3 linked regions of the Cricetulus griseus genome follow. The protein of the gene in region 2 purifies or fractionates together with the protein of the main gene of each other region. This does not show direct contact. Links are inferred from orthologs where the notes say so. Each region holds a gene or a part of one and is shown on either strand. Other genes may lie near its edges. The genes, in order: Faslg, Casp8 and Nlrc4.

Region 1 (6,385 bases), on a different chromosome or scaffold from region 2:
ATATTTTTACCTTAACTGAGGTATTTGAAGTCAGAGAAATAGCATTTATTCAAAAAGATATTGTCAGTTTTAATGACTTCAATTTAATTTACTGATACTATGCTAAACAAGGCTAAATGCTCTTGTTACTTAACTATATAGTAAAATGGCATTAGGGAAAGACTTGGTAGCCAGGATCCCAAAGTCCAGCAATGTTAGTACTAGTTTAGATCATAAAGTGATTATTCCAGAGAGCTGCTATTTTCCTGGACAAGAAGGAAGTAAAGGCAGTTTTTATAGTTGCCCTAGGAGGGAGGAGCCATAACTATCAAGAGAGGCAAAGACAGAAGGGTCTTAGGCTTTGAAGGGTGAAGGGCCATATTTGACAAAAAGTGTGGAAGGGTTTCCCAAAGGAAGAGGAGTGTAAGATGGTCACTAGATAATTGACAGGAATTTAACTCAGAGATCTCATTTGGAGGGCGTTCTGGACAGAATGAGCAAAAGCCCAGGAGCAGGGAAGAAGGGGGCATAATCAGTTCATAGAACCCATGCTGTGTGCAAGTGTTTGATGGGATGGAATAGAGGGAGTAAGACTGATACCATGTAGAGGAACTCTGGCTAAGGCTACATGATGGAGTAAAATTGTGGACAACCTCGTGATAGATGAGGAGGTCTTAATATTATCACCTTGGAAATAGATTGTAGATTGGTGCCCAGGAGATGAATCAGTAGTCTACAGGTCAGCAGAATCAGGGTGTACAGACCAGGGATTTACAGTCAGCCCAAGGTGCCCATTGCATCCACCGTTAAAGTCAGTCAGTTACTAATGTCTTATTGCCAGTTATAATTGGGACAATAAAGGGGTCAAGGCAAGTTCTAAATGGAGTAAATGAAATGGCTATTTTATCATAATATAATTTATGTATTCATCTGTATTTACCTGTCTTGTCTTTTTAAACTGTTTTTGAATTACAGACTCTCATGAGTCCCACAGTTTAGAATTTCTTGATAAGTCTGTACTAGAATATTTCCCCCTATGCTCTGAAAATCACATATTTAAATAGTGGGATTTAGAGTCCCAATCAAGATAGTGGTTGGCACCCATCATCATAATTTTCACATGTCTTTTGTCTCTCTATGATGCAGACCACCCCGGTCAACCCTCTGAAAAAGAAGAGCCGAGGTGTGTGGCCCATTTAACAGGTTTGTGTCTGGAAGGACTGGGTGAGGACAGAAAGTCTGGAAAACTGTGGACCAAATGCTCAATTTCCATTGTAGGCTCTTAGAAAGTATTATTGACAATTGTATTTACCACTCAAGACCATTCATATCTCTGGGATCTCATGAGCCTAATCTGACAATTCTAATGCTGTAGACTTGTGTATGGCTTGATCTTGGCCATAAAATGTGCACTCTTGAGGATGGAGCTCACCTTAAAGCTCTAAGCTCTGGACAGATGATAGAGAAAACGGGTGTCACACAGATGTGAAGGGAGATGAGAACAACAGCTGCAGCCAATTTCAAAGCATAGACAGTAACGAGGATGTGCATAAAACTGTTGACAGAGGATAGAAACTTCCTGTTGTATTTCCTTTAAGATGGGAAATGATCATTTTTAACCATGCAGGTTTTGCAAGAGCGTGAGCACGAGCACACACACATGTGCAAACACCTGTCTGGGCTAGATAAATTGGACCCTGAGGATATTGTCCTTTGGCTCTGGAGCTTACAAACTCTGACTAAGTGCACGTCTCTCCTGTAGATAATGGCCAGCTGGAGAGGGTGGCTTCAGGGTAGAGTGGTCATAATTCCTGTTTGAAGTGTGAAGAATTCTGATTTCCCCCTTGCCTCGACCTCTTGGTGACCTCTGTTAAGGACATGTCAGGTTGGCACAGGAGCCCCAGCCATCATTTCCTGAGAGGAGGAGATGGCTGCCTTGATTGAAGGGAGTGTGACATCAACACTGGCAAAGGTGGTGTGTATTTGTCACACCTCAGAAGTGGGCATTGCTGGTGCTTCCTGGGAGGGATGTGACAGTCACAGGCACAGGGCTATTAATGGAATCTGCCTAAGTTTTCCCTTGCCTCTCAATGGGGTGAGGCTCAGCTGCTATGGTCTGTCATTCTAGCTGGCCTCAAGGGCTAAAGTACACATGGGAAAATGTAAGGGCACATGTGACATATGTGTTATATTTGATGTAACCACAGCATGAGGAATTGCAAAGGGAAGGAAGGGAGTCTACTAGGCTGACAGTCCTGTGGCAGAAACAAAGAACAGTTATCCCAACTCTTAAGGAAGCCCTCTGTCCATTAGATAAACCAAGAGAGATTATTTATAAAACAAAAAGTGCACTCTTTTCAACCATGCCAAAATCCACAAGGGGACTTGTGACATAAGTCCAAGAGGAGCAGCCAAGGGTGAGTGATGCACTGTTTTGAATAAGAAGAGATTGTTCTGGCATTTGTGGGTTTTCAGCCTATGATTATAAAGTAAATAAGTGTTTTAGTATAATATGGCATGGGCAACTCCATTAGAAATATAAACATTAAAAATGTAGTTATATATCACAAGAAGAGGTGTACCATACCTCCTGTCATCACTTGGAGGCTGTAGAAAAATTCATCTGGGTCCACAAACACTTATTGAGTACTTGCTGTGTGTAGGTACATAATGCTGTGTGAACAAAATGGAAGGGGATTAGCCCAAAATAAGAGGCCAAGGAATCCAAACTAAACAAGGAAGTGGACCACATAACCATGAGATTTTGTCCAGATGTAGAACTCTGGAGATCATTCTCTTTATGGAGGGATGCCCAAGCTCAGCGGTGTTGGTACTAGTTTAGATCATAAAATGTTTGTTCCAGAGAACTGAAATTATCCTAATAGTCTTCCCTGAGATCAATCAGAGACACACACTAAATTTGTCCCAATCACATGGATGATTAAATTAGGGTGGACAATTTGACAAAGGTGTTGAAGAAACTCTGGGGTGGACCATGCTTTGACCCCTGATTGGCTGTCCTTCTGGATAGAGCTTTTGTTAAGGAAGGGCCCAGAGTTTTCCCTTGGAATCTTAGCCCATCAGATGTGGGAGACCTTCTGGCTGAAAGTTCTTCTCTGGTTTATTTCAGGCAACCCCAGCTCAAGGTCTGTCCTTCTGGAGTGGGAAGACACATATGGAACTGCTCTGATCTCTGGAGTGAAGTATAAGAAAGGTGGCCTTGTGATCAATGTCCCTGGCTTGTACTTTGTATATTCCAAAGTATACTTCCGGGGTCATTCTTGCACCAATCAGCCCTTAAGTCACAAGGTCTACATGAGGAACTCTAAGTATCTTGGGGATCTGGTGTTAATGGAGGAGAAGAAGTTGAACTACTGCACTCCTGGCCAGATGTGGGCCCACAGCAGCTATCTGGGGGCAGTATTCAATCTTACCAGTGCTGACCATTTATACGTCAACATCTCTCAACTCTCTCTGATTAATTTTGACGAATCTAAGACATTTTTTGGCTTATATAAGCTTTAACAGAAAAAGCACTTTAGAATTATCCATTATTCCGTTTTATGGGTACTGGGAATATTGTCTTGAATGAGTGTCTTTTTAAGACCAATTGAGATTAATCAAGACAAAATGAGCCACAAAGACCTCATGATCACAAGGTTCAACAGGTCAACTTTCCTTCATTTCCCAGAGTGGTCCTTAATGCCTCCATCGTGAGCTAGATGGAAGGAGAACTGTGGCCAAGGAACATAAAGCTTTGGGCTGCCATGTGATGATGCAGAGGCACAGAGAAGGAACTGTCTGATGCTAAAAATGGCCAAGAGCATTTTAGCCATTGAAGAGGACACTTTTAAACTCACCTTTCAGGGTGGGTCTACTTGCTACCTCAGAGGAGGCCATCTTTCAGACACATGGTTATGATCTGAATATACAAGGCATGGGAAAAGGGGGCCAGGTTTGACTGATAAGCTAGAGACTGAAAGAGGCCAATGTCTCATTGGCATCATCTTTACTTTTAACGGGTGTTTTCTGAGCCAACCTTTGATGCTAACAGAGAACTAAGAGGGATGTTTGAAGCACAGATCATTCCTTACACAGCATGTGTATCTCCAGTGCAATGGCATGTGTGTCTCCAGTGCAATGGCATGTGTGTCTCCAGTGCAATGGTGTCTGTGTGTGTTTGTATGTATGAGAGAGCAGACAGACAGATTCTAGAGAGTCATATAAATAGAATGTGTGCATTACAAAGTACATATTAGAAACATATGTGTTACATTTGGTGGTGGATATCTGAATGTTTCTTGGCAATAAACTCTAATAGTCTTCAAAATTTTTTTATTACCAGCTACTTATGCTGTTTTCCTTTAATAGAACTAGTATATATATATATATATATTTTGTGAATCTTAGTGAAAAAAGACAAATAAAAATTGTATTGCAGAATATAGAAAAGTATTAAGGATATAGTGTTTGGAAATCAGCGAGATGTGCTTATTGTTTCTTTTCTCCATGGTTTCTTCATTCATAATGGCTTTGGAGCATTCTGAGAAAGATTTACAAAGGTGAGTAGAGCTGTGTGGCAAATTCTTCCATCTTCATCAGTTTCTTGTCTTTTCTCTCTATCTGCTCTCCTCTGGACCTCACATTACCCTGAGTTTTGTTTACCACCATTATGGCCAACATTAAGCTGACCCAAATTTCCACATATTTGATGGCAACTCATCTTCTCTGGGGTTAGAGTCATGGCAAAGTAGAAAAGATACATGCTTTGTAGTAGAAAAAAAGAAGCCTGGAGTTGATCTTTGTTCTTGTTCTTAGCTCACTTTGCAGTCTGGTAGATCACTTGCCCTCTGATGTGCAGAAAAGAATTGATATATGTGTAATATATGTGCAGCCTCTTTAATATGTATGTGTAATAGATTATCCAAGGGGGGTTTGAAGCCACAGATAGGAGGAAAAGTTAAAAAGAAAACTGAAACACACCTCAACCCCTAACACTGTAAACAAGAAAGATATTATTAGTTACCTGACATTTCCAGAAATAAAATATGGGAGGAAGAAGGGAAAGTGCCAAGTCAACAGAACCCAAGCTGTTATTCAAAAGAGTTGGTAAATGTTTCCTGAATAAACTGAGGGACAAAATCAAAATCTCAGGTTGGAAAGTATCAACTTTTATCTTCAGGCTCTTCTATCTGACATCTGCTTTGGGTGGGTGGGTTACTTCAAGGAGAATGTCTGGGAGGTATTTGGTCTTTTGGTTGTAGATTTGCCTTTCTAGTCATTGTGATGAAATCCCCTTCATCTTTTTCCTTATATTTTGGCCTTCAGTCATCAAAGATGCTTGTTGCAAGGATCATGGAACATTTTCTGGATATTTTTATTCTCTTTGTCAATGAGCATTTCTAGACAATCATACTAGAGCAAAGAAGTAAGTATGGAGGCACAGGCATCTTGAGAATTGGTGGATGTTATAATGTAACAGTCAAGCTGCTCTGGTATCCATCTCTCGAGGGTCCCTTTGGGGTTATATTAATAGATCACTACACTTTAAGTATTCTGATTCTTGGCCTTTTGGTGAAGATCAAGTATAGTATTAGTTCCAGTAAAAAGATGCTAACAATACCTTTAAAAACCTTGAATTTTTTTCTCTAATTTAAAACACAAGTAATATTAAAACCAAAACACTTTTGAAGGTATTCATTGAAAATGGGATCTCCCATTGTTTCTTAACGAAAGATGATTAAAGACAAAGTTCAACACAGATCTACATAGAAAAGTCACTTCTAGTTCAATGGTTTGAGGTTTTCTTTTCTAACATCTAACAGCACACAACACCCATTCTTTTCTTAGCCCCTCAGACTGGTGGCTTTGTGTTCTCTGAAGTAGGTTTTGACTTACCACAGCTTAACAGGAAAGAGCTTTCCTGTGGCCATCATCAGAAGAGTATCTATTCTGAGGCACTTTCAGAAGAAGGAAATAGAGGGGGAAGCCTAGCCCCCTCAAAACCAAAGTAGATGCTTGCCTTTGTGGGCTAAGGCTTAGATATTTCCTAGTCCTAATCAAAAGAAGGGGAGAGGCCATGTGTGAAATTATATATATTTAAAGGTACCTGAGTAGAAGTTCTACCTTAGGGGCTCTTTTTCTTACCTAATGTGATAGGTCACAAGTGACCTAGAAAACAAGAGGCAGGACACATGATTTAGGGTATTTGTACTCAGCAATGAGCCCAGCTAGAAGTGGTGCAGCCTTTGGTAGTGCCAGGGACCTTTAGAGTTCACCTGGAACCCCACCAGACTTGGCCATGTAGGTGGCTAAGCAGGCATCTTGTTTCTTACAGTTCACATAGGAGACAGCAGAGTCTTCTCAATGCTGACCTCTGATGGGGGATGTCCTTCTGTATATATGT
Region 2 (6,843 bases):
AATGACAGAAACAGCTGGCCTCCTGGAAAGTCACCCAAATTTCCCCTGCAGCATTGTAGCATCCATCTCCTAGAAATATATGATGGACTTTTTCTGTGAGGCAGGAATTTTGAAGAACTGTCCTACCTTGTTTTGGCAAAGTTTGGCAGTTGCCATCTTTTGTGGCCTGCTTGTCCAGTTTGGACAGCACGCTGTCAGCAGTCGAGTGAAGGGCAGCTTCTTGTCCAGTGACTAACTTTGTCACAAATGAAAGCACACTCCATATAGAGGTTCTTCAATGCCCATCATCTTCTCAGATGTAGATTGGTGCTGCCAGGAGCAAATGTATCTCACTGTTACGAAAAGCCTTATGTTATTAAAACAAATTAAATGTCATATTCAGTTGGTCTCTGAAGTGTTTGAAGATCAACTATCTGTCTAGAATATATCTCTGTATGACCTTGAAAACTTATCTCTAACATGACTACAAGTTTGGTTGTTATAGATGGCTAACTACTAACCTGTATTTCTTAATTATCCTAAATAGTTTATAATAATAGTTTTCAAAGACTAGAACTTTATATTACAGTTTTAAATGAGCTGCATAGGTACAATACCTTACACTATGTTGAAACAAAAATAACCTTAAATTTGTATCAATATACAAAAATACCTTAAACAAGAGTAGAAACATAGGAATATGTTATAACAAAATAACCTTAAATTTGTATCAATATACAAAAATACATACCAATGTAAAATATTTGAGATTAATAGTTCTTTTAGCTTAAAAGTAGATTTCAATAATCTACCCTTTTATCCTATTATTCCTATATCTCCCTTTTTCTTTTCAAAAAGATATCCCTGAATCTAACTTCCTTTGCTTAGTTTTTTTCCCTGACCACGACCCCTCTAAACAACAGCAAGCATCCACAACCCATCAAATGACTAAAAGCCACCCACCCCACCTCTAGGGAATGTGGGCATTGTGTTCTTAAGATTACTTCCTATTGTCTGGGGGTGACAGCATCTTTAGGGTACCCTGAGAAAATTGGCATAATGGTCAAGTCCTGGGAGAGCTAGCTGTTGTCCAGTCTGGGTATGATGAGAAAGTGCAGAGCTTATCTGAAATCCTGGCTGGAGTCATCTGTGAGGCTGTACCATCTCAGCTAGCAGCTTTGAAGTTGTTATGGATGCATATTTTTGAGGAAACTGTAACAGAGGCATTCTGAGAGGCTGGATCACCTGTGCTACTTACTTACCTTTATTTGTCTCTTGTCTTTTTTCTTCTGAAAACACACAAAGGTAGCATGCGTGAGCATGAGCTGCATAGGTACAATACCTTACACTATGTTGAAACAAAAATAACCTTAAATTTGTATCAATATACAAAAATACCTTAAACAAGAGTAGAAACATAGGAATATGTTATAACAAAATAACCTTAAATTTGTATCAATATACCTTACAAGTATGGAATATGTGGTGTGCACAAATCAGCTAAAGATGATTCTCTGTTCTATGCTTGATCATGTAAAAGACATCTGTTAACTTTGTAAGTTCCTTTGGACTACATAACCAAACAGTAACATAAATCTCCTTCCATGCCACATGAAAGGATGGCATGTGATAATAAGTCATAAGGGCTCTGTAGCTAAGATTTATAATGTCTCAGCCTATCTCAGAGCTGTTCCCATATAGAGGGACCAGCACATACATCATCTGTCTTGTAGATTTTCTTTGGTTTCCTCCTTTATGTCTGCAGTCAAGATTTTCAAGAGGCCTCCCTTGGTCAAATCTGAACTTTATTTTGAAGGAATCCATAACTTTTTATTTCATGTGGAAACAAAGGCACAACCTCTCCCCCAACACAACACATTTCCTGATTTCCATTCTGATGTTAAAGATCTCCTTAAAATATATAGACTGGTTTAATTCAGCAGTTTTCATAATCCAATGCTCTTAGCAGCTGTTGTTTTATTTTCCTTCATACAAACTTTTGAGTTTTTCTGACTTATTTTTTTCCAAACGTTTAAAGATTTACTTATTTTTATTTTTAATTACGTGTCTGTATTTGGGTATGTCTATGTGAGTACAGATGCCCTCAGGGGCTAGAAACCTTGGCTCTCCTGTAACTGGAGTTACAGCTGGTTGGGAGCTACCTGATTTGGATGCCAGAATTGAACTCTGGTCCTCTGCAAGAGTGTCGTGTGCTCCTAACTGCTGAGCTACATCTTCATCCCAAGTTTTGGTGACTTCTAAAACATCCTTTTGTTTATTTACTTGGCAAGTATTTTCCAAGGTCTTAAATGTGTTTATAAATAATCTTCTGTGGTGTTTTGAAAGAAAATGGCTCTAAAGGGAGTGGCACTATTAGGAGATGTGGCTTTGTTGGAATAAGTGTGGCCTTGTTGGAGGAAGTTAACTGTGATAGTGGGCTTTAAGGTCTGCTTTGCTCAAGCTACACACAGCGAGACAGTTCACCTCCTATTGCCTGTGGATCAGGATGCAGCACTCTCAGATCCTTCTCCAGCACCTTGTCTGCCTGCATGATCTCAGGTCGCATCATGATGGTCACAGACTAAACCTCTGAAACTGTGAGCCACCCCAATTAAATGTTTTCCTTTCTAAGAGTTGCCATGGTCGTCTTGCCTCTTCACAGCAATAGAAACCCTGAGGCAGCGTCTGTCACTTACTGAACTCTTAGTGTGCTGCCTAACTGTTTGGGCAATGATGTGTGTTGTTCATATGTGATGTTGGTCCTGGGAGATTATGCTACCTCACTAGTGGTGTCTTAGTGCTCTTAGTTTAAGAGCACATTGTGATGTTCACAAAATGAAGAAATCCGTTGATGAGGATCTCAGAATGTGCACCTGCCTTTAAGTGACATGTGACTGTAGTTCATGGAAACTTATGTAATTCACAGCTGTCTGTGGGGTAGATATGTATTTAGCTTCTATCTACAGATGAGCAAAGAATTGCGCAACACATCTAAAATTACAGAGTTCAAACATTGCATCTCACAAATATCAGGCTAATGGAAATGAAAAAGGCTTGGGCCAGGCTGTCAGGGGGCTTGGGTGGTTTTTTTGTTTGTTTGTTTCTGTTTTTTATGACAGGGCTTCTCAGTGTAGCCGTGGCTGTCCTGGAACTTGCTCTGCAGACCAGGCTGGCCTCGAACTCACAGGGGTCCACCTGCCTCTGCCTCTGGAGTGCACCACCACCACCACCTGGCATCTTGGGTGGTTTATAGACAGACTGTTGTAATATGTGAGTTGTCTTTCTGGGGGGAAAAATGAAGGTTCAGTGAGAGAACAGAGCCCCAAGCACTCTTGGGCAATGTGGTGTGATTGCAGGGGGCAGTGGACAAGGGAATGCAGGGTGGGGAGAACCCAGGGCGGTTGGTTGTGTTGAGAGCTTCAGGACCTTTGGTATTGCTGATTGGAACGGTGTGTGTGTGTGTGTATGTTCAGAGTACCTTGTATTCTAGAACCAAATGTTTAGCCTTCTTCCTGAAGGAAATAGCTTGGACATTGACCAGGATTCTTAGAAGGGAATCAGTTCTGATGTGCACTGTGGAGAACATGATTCCCCCAAATCATCTCCCCTGGATCTTGATTTTATAACAGCCTAAGAGCAGCATGATTGTTTTAGCTGAAGTTAGTTGGAAGACAAAGGTGATGGGACTTTGCTCAGAGTGGGCTGGTTGGCTTGACTCGGTAGATTTTCATCACTATCCAGCCTTTTCCTGAGGTTCACCAGTCAGGCATAGTTGGCTGTTTTAAGGAGGCCCTGGGAGTGGGGCCTGCGGTTAACTCTGTGCAGCGATGGGAATGATCTAGGGCGTGTTTCTAAAGTGTCTCCATTTCCTACCACAGGGTCATGCTCTTTAAGCTCTCAGAAGAAGTGACCAAGTCAGAATTGAAATCTTTTAAGTTTTTTTTGAATGAAGAGATTCCTAAATGTAAGCTGTATGATGATAACTCGGTAAGACCTGGTATGTCCTTGAGATGGGTCACCACTGGTGGATCTGAGATCAGAGGGGACTGTTCTGCCAACAACAAACTGTATTCAAGGTTGTTTCCACTTGTTTGTTTGTGCTTTCATTTGTTTGTTTGAGACATGGTATCATTAGCCCAGGTTGAACCCAAACCTGCAATATAGCCAAGGATGGCCTTAAACTTCTGGTCTTCCTGTCTTCACCTCTTGGGTGAGGGATTACTGGCATGTGGCACCACTCTCAGTTTCTGTGGTTCCAGGATGGAATTCAACAGCTTTTGCATGATAGGCAAGCACTCTACCAGCTGAGCTATACCTTAGTCCCCATGTTCTCACTTCTTACCTGGGGAAAGTAAAGTAGTGAGGCAGGGTAGTAGTTATTTATGGCTTTGATGCCTTGACACTGTAAAGTGCTACTACTCAGCCATGGGGCAGACCCAGGAGACAGAGTAGGCAAGTTGGGCAGTGCCACAATACATGGGACCAAGCAGGGCCAGGGAGGAAATGCAGCCTGGGGTCACATCTTCCTCACCTCTGCTGCTTTTGAAATGTCACGTTTGCTTGTTTGTTTGTTCCCCCAGTGTGTGGTATGTGTCTTTATGAGTAGGTTGTATGATGTATGTGTCTGTGTCTACATGCTGTGTATATTGTGTGTGTGCTTCTTTTTTCTTCTAATACATTATTTAATATCTTACTATGTTACCTCTCTCTAATATACTCAGTGCCTCAGTGACAATAATGTCATCCAGGCCCCCACAGGAACTACAGTGGGGAAATGAATACACAGTTTGCCTATAATAAGCCCACTCCAACTTCCCTTCTGTTTTTAGGTTTCCTTTTTATTAATTTTTTTACATTCCAATCCCAGTTCCCTCTCCTTCCTCTCCTCCCGGGCACCTCCCATCTGCTCCTCAGACAGGGTAAGGCCTCCCCTAGGAAGTCTACTAAGTCTGTCTCATCATCTCACTGAGGTGGGATCAAGGCACCACCTACCCGCTTCCCTGTGTCTAGGTTAAGCAAGGAATCTCTCCATATAGAACGGCTCTACTAAGTCAGTTTGTACATTAGAGTTAGATCTTGGATCACTGCCAGTGGCCTCATATACTGTCCCAGTCACACCATTGTCAGGGAGTCTAGTTCAGTCTTATGCAGGTTCCCCATTTGTCAGACCTGAATCAGTGATCTCTCACTAGCTCGGGTCAGCTGATTCTGTGGGTTTCCCCATCATGGTCTTGACTCCTTTGTTCATATTATAGCTCCTCCCTCACTCGAGGAGCTTGGCCCAATGGTTAGTTGTGGATTTCTGCATCTGCTTCCATCTGTTTCTGGAAGAGGGTTCTAGCTTCTCTGGCGTTGTGGATTGTAGGCTGGGTATCTTTTGCTTTATGTCTGGTATCCACTTATGAGTGAGTACACACTACATTTGTCTTTCTGGGTCTGGGTTACCTCACTCAGGATTATTTCATACCATTGAGTAGTACTCCATTGTGTAAATGTACCACCTTTTCTTTATCCATTCTTCAGTTGAGAGACATCTATGTTGTTTCCAAGATCTGGCTATTATGAATAAGGTTGCTATGAACGTGTGTGTGTGTGTTGTGTGTGTGTGTGTGTGTGTGTGTGTGTGTGTGTGTGTGTGTGTGTGTGTTTGTGTTTGTGTGTGCTTCTTATGTATATGTGTGGCATATGTACCTGTGTGTGTGGTGTATACCTCTGCGTCTCTGTTGGTCTGAGTCTACCTATGTGTAGTACATATGTGTATGGGTTTCTCCCCACCCCACCCCCCGGTGTGTGTGTGTGTGTGTGTGTGTGTGTGTGTGTGTGTGTGTGTGTGTGTGCTTTTGTGTGCTGTGTGGTGTATTGTAATTCTGATGTTTGCTTTGTCCAAGTGTATCTTTGTACATTTGTTTAGTGTGGGTGCATACGAGCGCACATGAACACGTGTGTACATGCTCATGGCCTCTCTGTGTGTGTTTGGTGCCCTGCACATGTCTCTCTCTCTGTATGTGCATTCGCTGAGGTTTAGAGGTGGATAAGGCAATGCCAGAGTATAATGCAGTCTCCAGGGCTGTTCTTCCCACACTCCTCCAGGCTGGTCCATAGATGAAGGCTTCCACAGATAGTTTGGGAACAAGGCCTGGGGACTGGTGACATCTGACATGGCTTCTCTTTTTTTTCTATGTTTTTATCCTTTTAGGCCAGAAAACACAGAATGGCCTTCCTGATTACTGTCAACTTTGAGGGATCAGTATGTGCTCAGGGGTGGGAGGGCGATCTCTGTGGGAAATAAGACTGGGCTCTTGCTTTGGAAGAAGTGGAATTAAGGAAACAAAAACCTAGTTCCCAGGCCTGAGCACTCAATCCATTTGTCCCTTGCTCTCTCCTCCCCAGAGCCTGCTTGATATTTTTGTGGAAATGGAGAAGAGAGTCATCCTGAGGGAAGAAAACTTGGATGCCCTGAAATCAATCTGTGCCCAGGTCAACAAGAGCCTGCTGGAGAAGATTGAGGCTTATGAAAAATCAAGCAGAGGTAGACAGCTGATGGTTATGAGGCGGCAAAGCCTCCAGAGCCACAGCTGTTTCTGATCTAGCTCTTCCTTTTGAATGCAGGGAGAATGAGCCTTGAAGGAGGGGCAGAGTCGCCAGTTTCAGTTTTAGATGGTAAGACTTCCAGATTCATTTCTTTGATGCCGAGGCACTTAATTCCCTCTTACTCTCTTCCCACCACCTTCTGCCATAGCCTAATATCAGGATGAAAGTTTGGTGGTCACTTGTCACCCCTGCGGCTCTCTGGGAGATAAAAAGAATTTGCAAAAGCCCTATGGGAACATTTGAAATGAGCACAGTTATTCTACAAGTGGGTCT
Region 3 (6,843 bases), on a different chromosome or scaffold from region 2:
AACAAAGCCACACTTCCCGATCCTTCTAATCCTTTCAAAGAGTTCCACTCCCTGGTGACTAAGCATTCAAACATATGAGCCTATGGGGGATGTTCTTATTCAAACCACCACACATGCCATGCAGATGCCCCCCCCACATACACACATAAGGATCTTGCCTTCAACAAATGCAGCCAGCGCCAAATAATCTTAAACTAACCATTCTTATCATCATACCAACACCAATAACAATATTAAGAAGGGACTAGAGATATGGCTCAGCAGTTAAAAGCACTGACACTTCTTCCAGAGGATCCAGGTTCAATTCCCAGCACCCACATGGCATCTCACAACTGTCTGTAACTCCAATTTTAGGGCACCTGACACCCTCACACATACACACAGGCAAAACATCAATGTACATAAAATTAAAAAATAAATAATTAAGCAAAGAATATTAAAGAAACAAAAATCTCACCTAGGTTTTTAGCATCTTTCTCATTCATCCTAATGTTTTCCAGTACAAGCTTCATGAGGTTCTTCAGATTACCCAAGCTGTCAGTCAGACCACCTGCCAAAAGAAAACAGAACAGCATGTGTCCCTCTCTGGTGCTGTCATTGTTTACTGTCACTGACATTCCTATTACCAATGGGAATGTTTTAGTTATCATAAAGGGCACCAAGTGCTCACGATATTCACATAAGTGTAGATATTTTGTCAGAAATGGTGGTGGGCTCATCTATAAACATGCTGTTCAAATATAATGGAATTAAACAGAAAAATAAAACGTAGCAGGATGTGGTGTACATGCCTATAATCCCAGCACTTGGAAGGCTGAAGCAGGGGAGGGCAGGGGAGAAGAGAGGAGAGTAGGGAAGGGGAGGGCAGGGGAGGGGAGAGGAGACATAAAATAAGTAAATCTTTGGCACCTGAACACTTTCAGATTGCAGTTGGAGGCAGGAACCACAGGGAGGCTCAAGGCAGCTGAAATGAAGGACAGAGGAAATACAGAGAAGGTAAGCCAGACTCAGGGATGCACCCAGGAGGCAAAAAGCATTAGAACTGGTTCTAGAAGCCTCTGTGCCATCTAGCAGGTGCAGAGCACCATCCAGTCATGATTGCACACTTCGGACACACTGGTACCTGGCAGCCGTTGGGTGTGCAGGTTGTGAATGCTCAAGTTCTGGAGGTTTGTAACGGACGTGACGTGCTGTTCATCATCTATGGTGAGGGGACTGGCTTCCACCGTGAGGGAATGGATGTTCTTACAGGTCCTGAGGACTGAGCTGAGGCTTCCAGTCACAGCCACGCATCTCTTGATGTGCAGCCGGAGGTTTGTGGCGGAGCTGAATATCTTCCCCAGATATTTGATATCTTGTTTATCCAGCTTGCTGATATTCCGGAGTGTGACATCTAGAGTCTTGAATTCCTGCTTCCAATTGAAGAACAAAGACACAGCCCTGCTGGGAATGTAGGTTTCAGAGGGGCCTTCCATGTGGACTCCAGGACTGTTCTCTGCAGCTTTGTCCTGTGAAGCAGTGGCTCTCCCATGGAAGATCAGCTTGACAAAGTCCAGTGCGCTTACACAATTAGGCAAGTGTTCAAAGAAGTCAAATAAGTAATCGGGGATGTTCTCTGAGTCTATGTGTAAACTTTTACCACTAAAGAAAGCTTCAAATTCTTGACTCAGGGCTGATTCAGATATGCTCTCCAAGAACAGGTTGATGCCACACTCTACAAAAGAGTTTGTGTTGATGGCTTTCAGATCATCTTGCTCAGTGGTGTTTCTCATGCTCTGTACAGATTCTTGCCTCCAGAGTGGTCTCTTGGTGACAGAAAGCCCTTGTAAGCTGCCATGCTCATGCACCAATGCAAGGTGCCTCATGACAGCCCTGGTCGCCTCTGGGGATGAACCACATGTGTACAGGAGCAGATTGCCATACAGGGATGTGATGTCTGAGATGGAAACCATTTTCTTCAAGTAGTCATTCCCCTTGCTTACCTCCTCTGGTTCTCTGGAAATCAACAAACTGCTAAGTCTTCGTCCCGCTGTGTACTCCTGGAAGGATTTATGAAAGAATTTATACTTGGGTGTCAGCCTCTGAGCTGTGTACTTACAGAGGAGCCCAGTTGTCACCAGGACATCCTCATTCATGCTGGACAGGTCCTCGGGTTCAAAAGCAAACCTGTGGGAGAACATGCCCTCCAGGGCCAGGTCTCCACAGCGGTCTAGGCTCCTGAGAAAATCACTGTCAGCCCCGCCTCTGTGTCTGTGCTTGTTTTTCTTTATCAGGAGGTCGTAGAGGGTTCGGAACAATGTGGTTTGTGTGTGATCTTTGAATTCCTTCCTGCCCATCTGGATTGCACAGGTGATCACCACGAAGAGAGGGGTCTTCATCAGATTCCTCAAGCACTTGGACACCTGGATCTGGGAGAGCAGGCCTTCAGCCAGCTCCTTTATCAGCACTTGTCGGATGAGCACCTGGGCGCTGTCTTCTGTCATATCCCCCACCTCCGCAGTCAGGGCGCCAACATGTCTGATATGTCTCAGGCACTCTGTGGTGGTCGTGACAATGACCATGTTCTTGAAACGATGGTTTTGCTTTATCAGGTCTTCGATTTCTGGGCAGTTCTGGGGCTGGAATTCATTGTAACCATCGAGAAGAAAGAGGACTTCCTGCTGCAGTTTCAGCAGCATAGCCATGAACCCTTGCTTGCTAGTGGAGTCGGGTACATTCAGGAGCTGATCACACACTGTTTCAAACAGTCCATGCTCTGCACTGCTCAGGCGGACAAAGAAGACCAATTTGAACCTGTTCAGAGCCTTGCACTCCCCAGAGGCCCAGAGCATGGCAATTCTCTGCAGCAGGGTGGACTTCCCTTTGCCAGACTCCCCTTCAATGAGGCAGGGGCTCTCAAGAGCCTCCAACAGACTGCCCAGGGTTAGCTGCTCCATGCGATGATAACGATGGTCCTTCCTCCATAGGACGGGTTCTGTGAAGGTGATCTTCAGATTGAAAATGATGTCAATATCTTTACCCAGGGGATAGAAGTTCAGAAATGTGGGGCTGTTGTATAAGTATTTTAAATTCTGAGCCAAGACATCCAAGTCTTCTTCTGTGTTCTGATGAAAAATACCTGTTAGAGAAGAGATGCTGTTACAGAGGACTTGACTCTGCATTGCCTCTGCAGTGGCTGGTTTTGTGTCAAGTTGACACAAACTAGAGTCTTCAGAGAGGAAGGAGCCTCTGCTGAGGAAATGCCTCTATGAGATCCAGCTGTAAGGCATTTGCTTATTTAGTGATCAATGGGGGAGGGCCCAGCTTATGGTGAGTAGGGCCATCCCTGGGCTGTTGGTCCTGGGTTCTATAAGAAAGCAGACTGAGCAAGGCAGGGGGAAGCAAGTCAGTGAACAGCACTCCTCTATAGCCTCTCTGTCAGGTCTTACCTCCTGGATCCTGTCCTGACTTCTTTCAGTAATGAACAGTGATATGGAAGCATAAGCCAAATAAACCATCTCCTCCCCAACATGCTCTTTGGTCATGGTGTTTTGTCAAATAATAGAAACCCTAATCAAGACATCTCTGAAGCCCAGGGCTCAGGGGGATGAACAGCAGAGTTGCCGAGAATGGCAGCTGGGGGTGACTTTGACTTTCTTCCTAGTTCTTAGATACCACACAGGCTCCAAATTCCCATCGATTTCCCTTGGCCTTTCCACTCATTCCCTCTTCTCTACATTCCATTTCTTTTTTCTCACAATCAAATCTTACAGCAGCAGATTGGAAATGAGAGGAGCCATCATCTTAGTTAAGGAAAGTGAAAGATTTCCCTCAGAATGTGTGATGGAGTAAAATTCAACCAATTACGCAATTTAGTCACTTAATTAAAATGAGGAGTTGGAGGTATAGCTTGATGATGATGAAATTACTGCTGCTTGGAAAGTAGAGTGGTCACTTTTCCAAGACACTGCAACATGAGATAGACAGTCGGCAGGACCACTCACCCACAGATGACTAAGGATTGCTGGCTTCATCTATTTGTGTTCTAGCTAAACATTTTTTTTGACAGAGTCTTTATATATTTCCATCCCAGGCTGGCTTCAATCTCCCAATCCACCTGCCTCAGTCTCCCCAAAGAGCCCAGGGTAGCCAATTACGCACACCCAGAATTCCAGTTGTACTTTGAAGTGTGACTATACTTAACTCATTTCTTGCCCAGCTCTGAGATTACTTATATAAGCTTCACTGTCAAGTGTCTACTGTAAATGACTCAAAGTCCCTGGCCAGCCACACAAGGGTAGAGGACAAGCTGAAATTCCACAGAAGGGACTGTAGGTATTCTGAATGGTTTGTGTTCTTAATGGTGGGACAGAGGTGAGCAAAGCAATACTTACTTTGTCCAGTTAAGTCCTGATACATAGTATAGTCACACTTCTCAAGACACTTAAGAAAGAGGTTACAGGCCTCTGAGCCCTTCTTCAGAATCATATGAATGATCGCTCGTGCAGCATCCTGTTCCACCTTCTCACAGCAAATGTTGGCCTTTTCTTCATAGTTGAGAACATTCCATGCAAAAAGCTCATCTGTGATTTGCTTGATAACTGTGATGCCCATCCTTTGAATAAGAGCTTGACTGTTTTCCTTTATGAAGTTCACTGAGGAGACACAGGGAAACATTTGTTTATTATTTATTATTTAGGTTTTTCGAGACAGGGTTTCTCTGTGGCTTTGGAGGCTGTCCTGGAACTAGCTCCAGTAGACCAGGCTGGTCTTAAACTCACAGAGATCTGCCTGCCTCTGCCTCCCGAGTGGTAGGATTAAAGGTGTGTGCCACCACTGCCCGGCCATTTTTTTTATTTTAGCCAACAAGAAATACATGTATCTGTCACCAGCGCATCAGACTGCATTTGTTTTCCTTAGGCCCATCTTGAATTATTGAGACACCAGATGCTTGACATTCAGGTCCTCAAGAAAGTGCTCTGCAAGCCAGGAGGTGGTTTGCACACCTTTAATCTCAGTACTTGGGAGGCAGAGGCAGGGGGATCTCTTTGAGTTTGAGGCCAGTCTGATATACAGAGTGAGTTTCCAGACAGCCAGGGCATTTACACAGAGAAACCTCATCTCATAAAACAAACAACAAAAACAAAAGTGCTCTGCAAAACTCTGCAGCCCTAACTTTGCTCAGTGAGCAAGGCAGTTTAAGGTGATGAAGTTAGGTGGGTGATTTGTCCACTGATACAAGAGTCTCTCTAGTGAGCACCAGGTGTGGTGGTGCACACCTTTAATCCCAGCATTCAGGAGGCAGAGGCAGGCAGATCTCTGTGAGTTTGAGGCTAGTCTGGTCTACAGAGTGAATTTCAGCACAGCCAGGGCCACATAGTGAGACCCTGTCTCCAAAAGTGGGGGAGGAGAAAATCTCCAGTGAAGTCACAGTAGTGAAAACATGGGCCCAAGAGCCATTACCATCTTAATCAGAGCAAGAGACCCTCACAATATTGTACCTGTCGACATTCTTCCTTAGGAGGAGGAGTTAAAGGGAGCATTAGGCCCTCGACTGAGTTCCCAGCTTTTCTCCTCTATGTCTCCCTCCCAGCCATCCTGCCTCAACTTCAACCTGACGTGGGAGGTGCTAGAATAGAGGGTGCAAGGTTAGCTGGATGTGGGGGACCGAATATTGGGTCCCAGGCTCTGGCGGCGAGAGGAGAACAAAGAGAGAAATGGTTGCCTTGTAGTATTAGCAGGATGGTTAAGAGACACCAGAAAAGATGGCCAATAAAGAAATGACTCTAGTTCCACAACGTGGAACTGAGAGCTCTCTGAAGATGACAAGATGCCTGTGTTTGGTCTTTATCGCCATTGGGTTCCTCGAACCTTCCAGGTCCACACACCCCCACTCAGGTAGAACCCCATGGACTAAGGCTGAGACATTCTGGGTCACGACAGCTGGAGGAGGGACTCTACGTATGCATACACAGCTAGTCATCATCCATGCTTGATATAGGGCCTTGTGGGGATGTGTGTATTTGTGGTTACCCTTTACCTGGGCTCCAATAAGCAAGACCAACAAACCTACTGATTCAACAAACTAGATAGGTGGAATGGTTGCTTTAGTCTCTTATCTGAGGCTCTACCTGGGGTGACTAGGTGTTTGCTTACACTTCCCCCAGGTAGGTAACATTACTGTAACAGCATAGGATCTGCCACTTGCTAGCATCTGTAACCTTTGGCAACTCTCTTTTGAATCTGAAATACTGCCAACTATGTAACAGCCAGGATCTCTGGTGACAGAATATCCCTTTCATAGCATTTACTGAGCCCAGGAAGGGATTCGATATTTTCACCATGGCCAATTTCAAGATAGCCATATGTTGACTGGGAAACAAAAATCTGAAAAGTCAACAGTTCACCAAACCCTTCTATAGCACATAGTCTGTATACCCTGGGTAGTTGTTAGGAGAATTCATGTCTGTCATCACACACAAAGTAATATGCCAACATGCTCAGTTCTCACTTTCCTGTCACAACTCAAAGAAATAGGTGTTTTATGTTTCACAAGTTTTAGTCTTTTCCAAAAATGATCACTACAAAGTATTAGACAGTATCCAGTCTAAGCTCTCTCACTTCTCCCAGTCTCTAAGAAGGCCTCATCGTGTGTGTGTGTGTGTGTGTGTGTGTGTGTGTGTGTGTGTGTGTGTGTGTGCCTCTGCAATATCTTAATCTGTTTGGGGGTTTGGTTTGGTTGGCAGTCCTGGGGACTTATTGAACCTACAACCTCAAGCTTGGGAGGCCAACTCTCTACCACTAAATTACAGCCCCAATCCTGGGCCTAACTCTTAAATACAGGCAAAACTGTGCCTTGGTACT

Evidence for each region.
Region 1: the proteins of Casp8 (region 2) and Faslg purify together in Homo sapiens (co-immunoprecipitation; 8 studies listed by BioGRID and IntAct, with this or other methods). This does not show direct contact. The link is inferred for Cricetulus griseus from reciprocal best matches to the Homo sapiens genes CASP8 and FASLG.
Region 3: the proteins of Casp8 (region 2) and Nlrc4 purify together in Homo sapiens (affinity purification with western blotting; 3 studies listed by BioGRID and IntAct, with this or other methods). This does not show direct contact. The link is inferred for Cricetulus griseus from reciprocal best matches to the Homo sapiens genes CASP8 and NLRC4.

What each region holds. Positions count from the first base shown.
Region 1 is NC_048598.1:30,343,758-30,350,142, forward strand, and holds the end of Faslg (tumor necrosis factor ligand superfamily member 6), read left to right. Parts: intron 1-1,125; coding exon 1,126-1,182; intron 1,183-3,109; coding exon 3,110-3,504; 3' UTR 3,505-4,038; downstream 4,039-6,385. UniProt on the Homo sapiens protein: Cytokine that binds to TNFRSF6/FAS, a receptor that transduces the apoptotic signal into cells. Involved in cytotoxic T-cell-mediated apoptosis, natural killer cell-mediated apoptosis and in T-cell development.
Region 2 is NC_048595.1:413,122,842-413,129,684, forward strand, and holds part of Casp8 (caspase-8), read left to right. Parts: intron 1-3,857; coding exon 3,858-3,966; intron 3,967-6,369; coding exon 6,370-6,508; intron 6,509-6,588; coding exon 6,589-6,639; intron 6,640-6,843. UniProt on the Homo sapiens protein: Thiol protease that plays a key role in programmed cell death by acting as a molecular switch for apoptosis, necroptosis and pyroptosis, and is required to prevent tissue damage during embryonic development and adulthood.
Region 3 is NC_048600.1:9,235,760-9,242,602, reverse strand, and holds part of Nlrc4 (NLR family CARD domain-containing protein 4), read right to left. Parts: intron 4,635-6,843; coding exon 4,374-4,634; intron 3,119-4,373; coding exon 1,124-3,118; intron 551-1,123; coding exon 458-550; intron 1-457.